2 linked regions of the Caenorhabditis elegans genome follow. The protein of the gene in region 1 interacts with the protein of each later gene in a pairwise test. Each region holds a gene or a part of one and is shown on either strand. Other genes may lie near its edges. The genes, in order: zag-1 and daf-19.

Region 1 (7,799 bases):
AAGTTCACGTGGTGTCAGAGTGCCCCATTTCTTTTTGATCTACGTAGATCTACTAGAATATTCTCAACTGACTTCTCAACTGATTTTGCATGGTTAAGAACGTGCTGATGTCACTTTTTTGTGGAAAAATTCCCGCATTTTTTGTAGATCAAGCCGTGATGGGACAGCCTAACATCACGTTGGAATTATTGTCTTCCGTACATAAAGATCAGGAGTAACGATTTTTGTCAGCTGACTATTTCATATTGTCTCAATTTAGGATTTACTAAGTACCTATCCTGAAACCGACATTTCAGTTATATAGTTTGGCATAGTTTTTTGGCAAAATTTAGAAACAATTTTTTCCTGATTGCTGTTACCCGCCAAAAATTTCGAAGCCCCTCCTTCCCGCCTCTAAAACTCCACCCACCCGGACACCGAAATTCCCAAAAGGGGCTCCAGAAACTGGGCGGAGCCCCCCTTCCCATCTGGCAATCGAACCTTCATTCATCCCAACTACAGTAAGGTAAAGTGGTCTTCCTTCCCCCAAAATGTGGGCGTGGCTGGTGGCAGGTGGATGGGGGTCCGTCGCTTCCCGCAAACACTCACAGATGAGCCCTCCTGAGGTTCATGTGTGCTTCTTCTCTTTTCTCTTATTGTGTGTGAGTGTTGGGTGGTGTGCGAGACTGCACACACACACACACACACATTCTCATAGTGAGCTCTCACGTCGTCTGGAGCCCTGCGGCAAGAGGCACCGCTCCTCTAGGTGTGCATCTTCTTCATTTGGCACCTTTCCCCGCACGTTTTCCGCTTTTTCTTCTCCCCTTTCTTCGGGGAGCTTTTGCTACTAAAGAAGGGGGCCCCATTATTGGGATGCTCTCTTCTGTGTGTGTGTGTCTCTTTCATTTCGCGGAAAACTTCCATATCTTGCCAACTCATCAAGGTGCCTGGCCATCCTCTCACACTACTTCTACCCTTTGTTCATTTTTCCTGAGTGCCGCCTGCTGCTTCTTATTCATTCAATTATTCCTCTTCTTTTCCATTCCCCCTTTTCACCGTTTCTTTCCTCAAGAGCTTTTCGCTCAAGAGTTTTCTCGATTTGGTCTACAGTACCTCTGGCGGTTTTTTGGAGCCTTTTGAGCATCAGTGGTCAAGTTGGTCACTCAAATAAAATTTTCATAGCTCACCTAGAACTCATTGTGGCATTCTATTTTTTCGAAATTTTGTTAATTGATAATTTTAACCTGTTGTATCTTTTTGAATCTGGTAGAAAACAAATTTTTCCCTGTTATTCTGTAGAACATCAAATTTGCTACATTTTCTTGTTTGACAACTTTTTGATAGCTAACAAACTCGCGGAGATATCTCCTGCCAAATTTGTAACGTATAATTTATAGTAACTTTCTAGCAAAAATACAATACTTTTACAATTGAGAATATGTTTTTTAAAACACTTTTTGATAACTTGTCAGCTTAAATTTTTACTAACTAACTGTCATATATTCTAAGATTTGCAAGCTATCAAAAAATTAAAGTTTAATATTTTATTCACTACAAATTGTCTAGGTAACAAATCATTGATAGCTATCAAATCTGAGCGGATACCCCCATTTTTCTCTCTTCTCTATAAAATTACGCATTTCTTTTTTCTTTTTTGTTTTTAATTTTCTAAATTCCAGGTAAAATGGTAGATATCGCCGAAGCCATGCCAACAACCGCCAGCAGTCTACCATCAGACGAGGCGCTGCGCAAATTCAAGTGCCCGGAATGCACAAAAGCGTTCAAATTCAAGCATCACCTCAAGGAGCACATCAGAATCCATTCGGGCGAGAAACCTTTCGAGGTAGGTCCTAGTGCTCGCCGAGTCACCTGTTGCTCTCCCAGCTAACCAATTTATCAATGTCTAACATGACAAGCGGGGAATGAGGGGAGAAATACCTGTGCTCTAATGATGATATAGGTGTAAGACCGGGGCTCTCCTCTCACAACATAAGTTTTCTAGTTTTGAGCAAGAACAACAAAAGGTGAGAGAGAGCCGGCCGGAAAAGTATAGATGCCCGCTAGGCATTCATTAATTCGTCTACATCCCCGAGCATCTTTTTTTTCCTTATAGCTAGCTAGGCTTCATCCTCAAAAGGTGTGTGCTCATTGGATACGGGATACTTTACGCTACCTGAGCTCCACCCTCCCCCCGCACCTCTGGCTCACCTCTCACCTGGAGCCCACGCCCCTTGTGCGGCTATTGGCTAGCGGCGAAATAATGCACCTTTGGGTGCAATAAACAAACCTTGGCTCTCCATCAGTACGTGTGATCCAGTGCCTCAAAGATTTATAGGTCCCAGTGGGGGAGCTCCTGCGCTCGCTGCCTCCGTGATAAATTAATGTTTTTACTTTATTTTTTGCAGTGCCAACAGTGCCACAAACGCTTCTCGCACTCCGGATCGTACTCCTCACACATGAGCTCGAAGAAATGCGTGCAACAGGCATCCCCGTCGATGGTGACCCCATTCAATCCATATCAGCTGATGATGTATAGGAATATTATGCTCCAATTGCAAACTCCCCAGGTCTCCTTTCTCCCGTCCACCGCCGCAAACAATATGGACTATATGAGCCTTCTCCAGGCAAATTTGTTCCAATCTTTAGAGAACGGCACCTCGCCAACGCCTACTCAGGAGCCCAGCGCTCCAGCGTCTCCTGAGCCGAAGATTGAGGTAGTCGATGAGCCGGAAGTGTCTTCTGAAGTGAAAACGGAGGTCAAGACGGAGGTCAAGACGGAGGACTCGGTGCCAGAGGAATCGATAACGCCGGCCGTGTCAATGTCGTTGTCACCTGCGCCTGAGCAAAACGGAAATGAGTCGATGAATAATGGAGGCAGCGGATCCGATGGGAAGTCGTCGCCGGATTGGAGGCCGCTGAGGTCTAGAAGCTTTTTGAATGATTCACAGGTAAGGATTTTTTTAAACTGTTGGAAGTTTTATCTAAATTTTGTACCAAAGATTGAAAAATTGTTCGATGTACCACGTTCTGAGGATTATCAAAAACTGTCAACTAACAAAATGTTTGCAAAACTTTAAGAAACAATTAGCTGGTTACTAAAAATTTGGTAGAGCCCTTCCTCAAGTAGAAATAATCTCTAAGACATGGTGCATCAAACATTTTTTTACTAGCAAAGTTTTCAGACCACAGCAAACATAAAACGTTAATTTAAAATCAATATTTTCAGGTGGCAGTTCTGCAAAACCACTTCAAACGCAACCCATTTCCCTCCAAATACGAGCTCTCCGCCGTGGCCGAGCAGATTGGCGTCAACAAGCGCGTCGTTCAGGTGAGTAAAGATTTATTCGCCGTTTTTAACGACGCTTTCCCACAAAAGTTTCCCACAAGGTGGCGTCTCTGGACGGGAAGTGGAAGCACATACACACACACATGTGCTCAAGTGGCTCATCAAATTGTTGTACATACATCACGTCCCCAGGACGCAGGTGCCGGTGCTCATCGCGTTATTCCACCAGTTTACCGCATACACATTTCTTCCGTTTTTCCAGGTCTGGTTCCAAAACACTCGAGCCAAAGAACGCCGGAGCAATCGGCTCCCAAGTATGCCACGCGGCAGTGTGGCTTCTGCCGCAGCTGCGGCTGCGACTTCACCTACCGTATGGCAGACGCCTGTACAGTTGATGGCTGCCTGGGCTTCACAGTTCTCAAATGGAAACAACAGCTTGACCGCATCTCAGGTAATTGTGGGGAATCAGAAAATGTGTGACACATGTTTTGTTTTCGCGCACACACATTTGGTGCCAGATTCTATACAATTGGATTAAAAGTAGCAAAAAATCTGGCTATAGGAAATAGACAACACTTTTTGCTAATTTTAACCTTCTCGCGCATTTGACAATTATATCTCAAGGGGGTCATTAGGGGGTCATCAGGTACAACGTGTCAACTTTCCTAATATAATTGATCAGAAATTTGATGTTTCGGGTAGCCCCAGGTGATCCATAAATCATGTTGTCCCAACCAGCTTGGGGGCTCACTCACTTCTTTCAAAATATCAATTCATCAATTTCACGTCTCCCTCATCCCCCCATCCACTCCTCCCTGTCTCTCGTTGCTTGAGGCAGGTTGTAAATGAGGCTTCCCTACCATGTGCCCCCTCGCCCCACGTCTCATCAAATTTGCCTAATTCGACACCTGCTCCTAGTTTTATGAATATTTATGGGTGGTACTGTTCCTGGCGAGGAAATTAAGTTGGTAGTTGAACAGTTTCTCGGTGGAGCATCATGTTTTAGAAGGTATACCAAGAAAAGTGTTATCAGAAAGTTGGCAACTGACAAATCGTGGAAAATTTAGTCCTTGCACCATGTTTCGGAGAGTTTTTGCAAGGGTTTATCTTTGCTAGCATCAGAGCAAACATTTTTTGAAAGCATAAATATTTGTTCAACATTTTGTAGCTTTGATGTACCATGTTTTGGAAACTGCGGTCTCCGCTCTCTGCCGATGTGCCAAGTTTGGAAGATAGTGTCATTTTGAGGGTACATCTCTGCGGGCATCAGAGCTATCAAGAATTTACCAACTAACAATATGTAGCAAATTTTGTGGTTAACTTTTTGTCAGTAAATCACGTTTAGATATCTCAAGCCCCTGTAGAGATATTCAATTTTTCAATTCTCAATGCACCATGTTTGGTGCTAAAATCCCACGCCACTACAAAAGTGTTTGCCTCAAAAAACTTCACTCCTATAATCCAATCAAGGAAGAATAGACACCTAAAAGAGGGGACATTGTCGTAGATATGAATAGGAGAGCATCTGTCGAGAAGACACCCATAAAAGAAGGGAAGGCAGAAACAGGAAGAGATGTATAATAGGATGATACTAAATGAGGGTGAATGGCTTGTTGTCACCAGCCACCACCTGAGCCCGCTTCTCAAGATGTTGCTTTGAATGGGTCCTCTGGGCTCCGGAGAGTCTGAGGGAGCAGGAAGCTTAGGCGGGGGACTGTCGAAGATGGCCTGAAAGTGCATCGGGGGCTCATCTCACATGATGCTCTCATCAATTTCCTTTTGTCTTCTTGCATAATTTGTGTCATTCAATTTACCTTCTCCTCTTGTCCATCCGCCGGCGCGCTCTCACACCGAGATGAAGCGGCGGCGGTTGGAGACTCAGACGGGGCAGAGACGGGACCCATCAATGGAAATGAAATGAATTCGAGTGTTTTTGGTATTGGGAAAAAGAAGGAGCAGTGAGGAGTCAGTGTGTGTGGTGGAAGGCAGGCAGCACCTGCTAATGAGCTTCTTTGTCCCCCTCCTTCCTTTTCGCTTTCTTAAGGGGGACTTTTTGGCTTTGAAAATTGAAAATTAGTTGAATTCGGGGGTCACGCCTTACTATTTTGGTATTTCTGAAAGTTTAATGAATCATAATGAATCATATTCCAGGACGAGCGCAACAACGAGAATACGGACGAGGTAATGGATCATGATGGCCTTAAGGATGGCAAAGAGACACCACTGGACCTCACGCTATCCACAGACGACACGGAGCCCGAGTGGAGCCCTGAGAAGCTCATCGGCTTCCTCGACCAGACTGGTGGAGTGATCCAGGAGTTGCTGCGGCAGGCTGGAAATGGATTCGTGACGAATCAAGAGGACGAGGAGGAGAAGCCGATCAAGGCCGAGGAAAGCCCCGTGTCGAGCGGATCTTCGTCGATTTGGCCGTCGTTTATTGGGCAGTACCCATCGATTTTGGACTCTGCTAGCTTATCGGTTTTGGAGAAAGCTCTTGATGTAAGTTTTATAGATTTTTCGGAGTGTTTCGCAATACAATTTTTGATGCTCCATGTTTTGAATAGCGTTGTCAGTTGGAAAGAACAAAAAACCTTTTTGGCATATCTCAGCGGGTGTAAGTTTTATTAAAAAATTATCAACTGAAAAATTTCAGCAAATTTTATAGTTAAGACTTTTTCAGTAAAAATTTTTTTGATAGCCTGGGCTTCCGTGAAGATATAAGAGCTGTAAGATATGTGATTATTTATTCCAATAAACAAATTTTTGAAAAGCTTTATTACCCGCCAAGATATGCTCTTACAAATAACTTTCAAGACATGGTGCATCATAATTTGGCCCCAAATTCAACCAAAATTTTAAATATTTTCAGCAACAAAAATCATCCGAAGACGACGCCTCATCCCTTTGCTCCAACGAATCCAAGCTTCTCAAATTCCCCACGACCCCCCTAAAAGAGGAAGAGGGTCTCTTCTCGTGCGATCAATGTGACAAGGTGTTCGGCAAGCAAAGTTCACTGGCTCGACACAAATACGAACATTCTGGTGAGTAAAGCATCCTTGTAGATGGGCGGAAAGGATGGAGGGGAGGTACAGGAAATTAGAGGGTATTAGAGGGGGAGAAAATAGACACCATGTTTGGATACATACGTGATGCAATCGTATTAATTGAAGAAGGGGGTAATCTAATTGAGAAGATAGACCGGGGGACAGCTGTATGTGTTCTTAAGCTCAAATCATTTTGAATACAATTTGATCAGCAAAAAGGTTGAATTTTTTCAAGTTTTTGACATCGAGAAACTGGCCGCTTTAAATTTTCGTAACTTTTGAGCCAGTTAGTTTTCCAAATAGTCAACTGACAAAACGTATTAAATTTCAATAAAAATCTTCAATTTTCAGGCCAACGCCCTTATAAATGTGACATCTGCGAGAAGGCGTTCAAGCACAAGCATCACCTGACCGAGCACAAGCGGCTCCACTCCGGCGAGAAGCCATTCCAATGTGACAAATGCCTGAAGAGATTCTCCCATTCTGGAAGTTACAGTCAGCACATGAACCACCGCTATTCGTACTGCAAACCGTACCGGGAGCAGCCAGCTTCACCGTCCGACGTTTTGAACGGCGGAAGTGTTACCGTATCCCCATCCTCCTCGAATACCCCACCGCCTTCTACCTAGAGATCTCAACTTTTCCAACTTTTTTTTTTGAAATTCTTCCGAAATATTGGCTGTGCCAATAAACGTCTTGCCTTGCAGCTTCCTATGGTGCTTTTTATGTACAGTTTATCAAATTTTTTCCCTGAAAATATAGTCATCATTCTCCGTGATATGCTTCGCTTTTTCCTTCAACTTATCTCCTGGCCGGTGCCGTGCTTTCGCTTTTCTCCCCCACCTCACTTTCAATTCTTTCTTAACCCAATTTTTATTTCAACTAGAACAAAAACTACTAGTCAGATCTTCACAAAAAATGGTGCAATTTGAAATTTCCTTCCCCTACCTTCCGTGCTGGCTCATTTGGGACCAACTAACTTTCGTGTAACGCAGATTCCCTTCTCCTTTTTGTTTTGTTTTGTTTAGTTTTGGCTAAATAATATTAATAATGATAATAAATTGTTCTTTTTTTTTTGAGGAAAATTTGTTGCAAGAAAAAAAAACATTTTCAACTGCAATCAACGATGCAATAGAGCTATCGAAAAATTATATATTTAAATCAATTTTACCGACCATGCAACTCTCGAATTATGAAAAATAAAACATGGTACATCAAACATTATTTTGCAAAATTTGCAAGTTGCCGGTAGAACAGGCATGGCTGCAGGTTAGTAGGTAGGCGATGAGACACGCAGAACGCAGACAAGCAGTGCAGATGGTCGACATTTGGCCAAGAATCCAGGTAGGCATAAATGTAGGCGAGCAGGTAGACGAGTAGGTAGACACACTTTAAAATATAACACCTTTTCAAATTACAATAGGCTAGCTATTCTGCCTAGTTGGTGAGAAAAGACAAACGCAGAAGGTGTCTCCGAGCATATGGCC
Region 2 (5,108 bases), on another chromosome or scaffold:
AATGAGACTGGCAATGATTTCTTGAGCATCTTGATATTTGGCTTCACATCTTCAGGCTCCATTTTCTTACGAGGTGTTCCAGACGAAGAAGACCTTGTGCTTATTGTATTGTGAGTTTCTTTTGATAATCTGAAAATTTGAACTACTTGTGCATTAAATTTGACTCTAGGATTTGAATTTTAGCATGTCGAAAAGACATGGGATATGAAAAATTAACAAATAAACTAAATAGTAGTAGTATGAGATGACAAAAGTGGGGGGAAGCGGATGCGAGGTTTTCATTATTCCCCGTATCCATGGAAACGCAGAAAGGGACTCCGAATCGGGCTTCTGTTATCACTCCACCCACTCCAAGCCGACAAGCACACCACTCCACCCGCCACTAGTTCTCCTCTTAATTGGCACGAGTTCACGAGATATTTTGGAATTTAGAAAGAACTCGTGCTTCTTCTAATTTACCTTTAATGTGAGTTTTTCTCAATTTTCAATTTCACTATTACTAATTCGGAATACCGAATTCCCTCTATTAAAGTTGCACCCCCTGCAAGCCAATCGAAAACTTGCAGCATCTAATCATCTTGAACTGACTTTTCTTGAGCTGACACCCCCGAATTTTTATTTAATTTTGGAGCATTTACAGCCTAATATTTAGCAAATTACCAAATTTACGGAAACAATTTTTTGTCGATTTCCAAAATTATGATTGGCAAAAACTGAGTTTTTTAATCTCAAGTTTTGACTGCAAATTAAAAAAATTGGAATTTTTCCCTTTAACCTTCAAGTTCTGTTTTTATTCATCTGCATTTGTTTTTTTTTTCCGACACATTATTTTGTGGATTTTTCTAATTAAAGATCACATTTCTAATCTTATCCAAAATCATTTTCCATCAAGCGATGTGATCAGATTTTTCTTTTAAAAAATAGGAAACTTCAATTATATTTTGTGGTAATTCTGGTACTTCAAACATTCGGAAATAAAATCATAGTCCTAAATAAGTTTTCTGTTCTTTCAGAGAATTGTTTTTAAAAAATTTCATTGATTTTTTAAATTATAAAAAAATTAAGAATTCTGGGAATATTTTAAAATCGTTCTCGTATCTTTAAAATATCATTGAAGCTTTTCTGAACAAAAATAAAACTTCATTTTCTCAACCAATTTCATTTACTTAAATTAAATAATTGTCTGAAAACTTTCAGACAGACTTTATATGTTTCAATATGCTTGTATGCAGCTATAGTAAATTTTTTAAACTCAAATCGATCTGTTTCAGTTTTTGATTAAAACTTCAGTTAAAATCATTTTTCCATACAACTCCTTTTGAACTGTGCACTTTTTCAAAGTTTGGAATATTTCAATTTCAAGTTTTCAAAATTCTATCTGTTACTGTAGCTGATAATCATGTTATACTTTAGTTTTTTTTTTTTTAATATTACTAATGTTTTGAAAATCCTACATTTTCATGTAAAATTTAATTTCCTTTTCTTACTCTTTTATCGTTTCATTATTTTTCGTTGTCGTTTTATTCCAGCTAATTTGTTTTTATTTTCAGAAAACTTCCCGCTTTTGGTCACGTTCACACACCGGGTGCTTCACCATCTTTTTCATAATTTCTTGTTCATATCTTTGTGCTCTTCTTTCTACTTTCTCTCACTTTGCTCTTCGTTTTGGGTCTGAGAGTATAGCATAGACAAACCGACCACTACTCTACGCTAATTTATGCCCTCGCCAATTCTCCAGAGAGAAAAGATGCAAAGCCAGGAGCAGATGAAGAGAGAGAGGAACCAAAGTAGAGAGGAAGTGTGAAGATGAGAACGTTAGTTCCTCAACTTTAAACACATTTTACAAAACGCTCCATTGATAGTCAATTTGTTGGTTGTTGAAAGAAAAAACTTACGATTTTGAATCTTTGGATGCAGATCGAAGTTTTCTTTCTCCAGATGGATGTGTTTCTAGAGGCTCTTCTTTAATCGTTTTTTCAGACTTTTCAGATTTCTCCGGTGATTTTTGATTTTCGACATCTTTAAATTTCTTCCTCCAAAGTGCATCAATATCAAGTCCTTTTCGCTTCCTTGAAGGAGTCTCTCTGAAAAAATTGGTTATTGTTTTAAAGTGACCACAACTTTCAAAGCTTCAAAAATATTTCACAAGATTATATACTTTGCCAGCCTTCAAGAAAACCTAGGCCTGCTTGGAGCCTATTGTGCGCATTTTTAAAAGACCTTTCGATAAATTGATTGATTTGAAAATTAACTTAAGAAGTTCGGATTAAAATCTACATTATCAAAAACATGAAAATACCGGAGTTCACGCAAAATTGCAGTACATTTCGATAGGCAGGCACATACACCTAGAGCCTTCTTGCCTAAGCATAAACTGAATTATGTCCTAAAGAAATACATTTGTAGAAAAAAAGCCAAATATCCTAATTAAACACTACAAAAATTTCGATTTTTTTTTTGAATTTTGAAAAATCTGAAAACCTTCCGAAGTTAGTAAATTGCCAAATGTTCCGAAATTGTGAAATTGATGCCGGTTCAAATTTCTAGAACGTTCTAATTAAAATATAAAACTCGTAGAAATTTTGATTTTTTTGGTCGATTTTCAAAATTATGACAAAGTTTTCACCACTTTTTTGACTGTAAATAAAAAAAACCAAAAGTTTTGCTATAATTTTTGAACATTTAAGCACTATAGTAGTTGTTCTACGAAACGCATTTTTCAAAACTGTAAGTTTCGGTGATTTTTTTTTTGAAATATTATACATTTATTTTGATAAATAAAGTATTTTTCCTACTTCCTTCCTCATTTACTTAATTTTCTTCTTTTTTTTCTTAAACAGTTTTTTTCTTGTCATGTCACACTTTTTTTTGCTGTATCTTTTTTTTCTCCAATTCAATGTTCCTATGGCCACCCAACGACGACACCGTGTGAAGGTCATTCATCTCTTTCTCGAAAATGGAAATAATGGGAAAAAAGTGATGGGATGGGAGAATTTGATATGATAAGATATGGGGTTTTTCTCGCACAGGTGGTCGTACAGACTTTCAGCCGATTTTTGCAGATAGACTACTCACATCTTCACGTTTTTCTCGGCTGCACTGAGCACACTGCTCGTCGATGGCACCGGCTCCTCATTGGTCATGACTTTCTTCTCTGCCGCACCACCCCTGAAACTAGACATTTACAGAGAGAGACCCAGACGATGTTGCATTTAGTCTCTTGGATAATTTGGAAGTAGTTTCCATGGAAACCAAAATTGTAAAAGAAGCCGAGATGAAGCCGGAAAAGCAGCTAGAGAAAAGCAAAGGTGGCCTAGAGAGAGAGTTAGGGAGGGGGGAACGAAACTAAGTTGCTGCGTCGATAAAATATGTGCGGCAGCGGGGAGTGTCTCCTCGTTGCCTGGGGGAGTGTACGTGAGTGAGTGAGAGAGTGTCTGTCTGTGTGAGTGTGTGTGGTGCGAGTGTGTGTGTCTCAGTTGTGTGTGTGTTGTTGTGGGTGAAGAGATGGGACGAAAAGGAGATATGTGTGTGTGCCTAGGGCCCCTCTCAACAATGGAACATCACTTCTTCCCTGCTTCTCCTTCTTAAAAGTATTTCTTTAAGGGCCCCCGAGGTTGGGAAGAAGGTGGCTCGGCGCTTGCATAGGAACGGAAGCTGAAAACTAGGACATATTCCTCACAGACTGGCGAATCTGAAAAATAAATACCGTAACATGTATCAGTATCACAATAGTTTTTTTTTCAAATTTCAAGTATTTCAAGTAACATGAAACATTCAACATGTTTGAGAGTTAATAATATAATATACCTAGGTTACTTATTTTATTAAATTTCCTTCTTCAAACATACCTGTTAAAAACAATCAGACATCCCAAAAAAACTCTGAAATGTTCTGTCAAAGTCATGTTTAAAAGTTTGAAACTACAAAGATGTTGCAAGAATACGGTCTTGCAACGATCGGAAGTTTGTTACTGAAAGCTGTGAACCGCGACAATTAAGAACTATTGTAGTTACTTATTAAAAATGTACACTCTTTTTTGGAGAAACCGTTTAAAAATTCAAGGTCGTGTCGAGACCTGATACTGTATTTTTGCTTTATAAATTGTAATATTCTTAATCTGGATGATTAATACAGTTTACATATTACCGGAACACAAAATTCTAAAAATTCGTACTGTGCAACATATTTGACGCTTTAAATATCTCGTAGCGAGAACTACAGCTGTATACAGTAATTCTTTAAATGACTACTGTAGCGCTTGTGTCGATTTACGGGCTCGATTTATGAAATTAATTTAATTTCGAACAGCGACATTCTTTTTTCATTCGTTTCTCATTTTTTGCTTAATTTTAGTATTCTATAGATAAATAAATTATTTTAATCCATTCGAGCCCGTAAATAATATGCATTCTCAGAATTTTGTGTTCCCGTAATAAACTATGAGTTACAATTTTCGATTTCAAGACATACCGTACCCAAGTTTATCAGAGAGCGGCACAAAATCGGTTTTCCTGTTGAAAATAGCTAAAAATCAACAATTATTGTCTTATATCCATAGATATAAAACAATGCATATTATATTTATTTTTTTCTTCAGAAAAGAAACGAAAATATTTTATTTTCACATTTTTATATTCAGTTTTTGCATAGTTTTTCTTTTTTATTTCTAGATTACACTTAAAAGCTGATAAATTTAGTGTTATTCTCGATTTTTCGGAATAAAAATTCATTTTCAATAATTTTTGATCTTCTCTTTATTTTTGAAGAAAAATTATTGATTTTTTTCCACCAGAATTTTCAATTTTAAAGGGATGACCAAATTTAAAAACCACGGGTCTCGCAACGAATATGAAAAATATTTTTGCGCTTTGCAGACGCGCACGAGCGGCAAGTTTTCAATTTTCTGCAGTTGTTCACCAATCTAGATTTCTTTTTCATCATTTATTCTCTTTTTCTTCCCGATGCGGTTGATTTTGCTTTGCTCTCTTTGCTTCAATCTGAATTTTCGCCATTTTTATTCAGATTTGTTCCTTCTTAAGCTATTACTTCTTGTGAATCTTCCGTCAAAATTTCATTCAAGTTTTCTTACAGACTCAAAAAAATGTCGA

Evidence for each region.
Region 2: the proteins of zag-1 (region 1) and daf-19 interact in a two-hybrid assay, tested with the Caenorhabditis elegans proteins (one large-scale study listed by BioGRID).

What each region holds. Positions count from the first base shown.
Region 1 is NC_003282.8:3,854,184-3,861,982, forward strand, and holds zag-1 (Zinc finger E-box-binding homeobox protein zag-1), read left to right. Parts: upstream 1-1,659; 5' UTR 1,660-1,666; coding exon 1,667-1,825; intron 1,826-2,387; coding exon 2,388-2,930; intron 2,931-3,208; coding exon 3,209-3,310; intron 3,311-3,530; coding exon 3,531-3,719; intron 3,720-4,000; exon of another isoform or gene 4,001-4,215; intron 4,216-5,419; coding exon 5,420-5,767; intron 5,768-6,137; coding exon 6,138-6,309; intron 6,310-6,663; coding exon 6,664-6,941; 3' UTR 6,942-7,386; downstream 7,387-7,799. UniProt on the Caenorhabditis elegans protein: Transcription factor. Down-regulates expression of genes involved in either the synthesis or reuptake of serotonin, dopamine and GABA.
Region 2 is NC_003280.10:10,166,179-10,171,286, forward strand, and holds the start of daf-19 (RFX-like transcription factor daf-19), read right to left. Parts: upstream 3,168-5,108; 5' UTR 3,144-3,167; coding exon 3,076-3,143; intron 2,085-3,075; coding exon 1,896-2,084; intron 130-1,895; coding exon 1-129. Other genes in the region: gpd-4 (Glyceraldehyde-3-phosphate dehydrogenase 4), read left to right, coding at 5,102-5,108. UniProt on the Caenorhabditis elegans protein: Probable transcription factor. May regulate some genes of ciliated sensory neurons. May activate the expression of the shared components of sensory cilia, but not the cell-type-specific expression.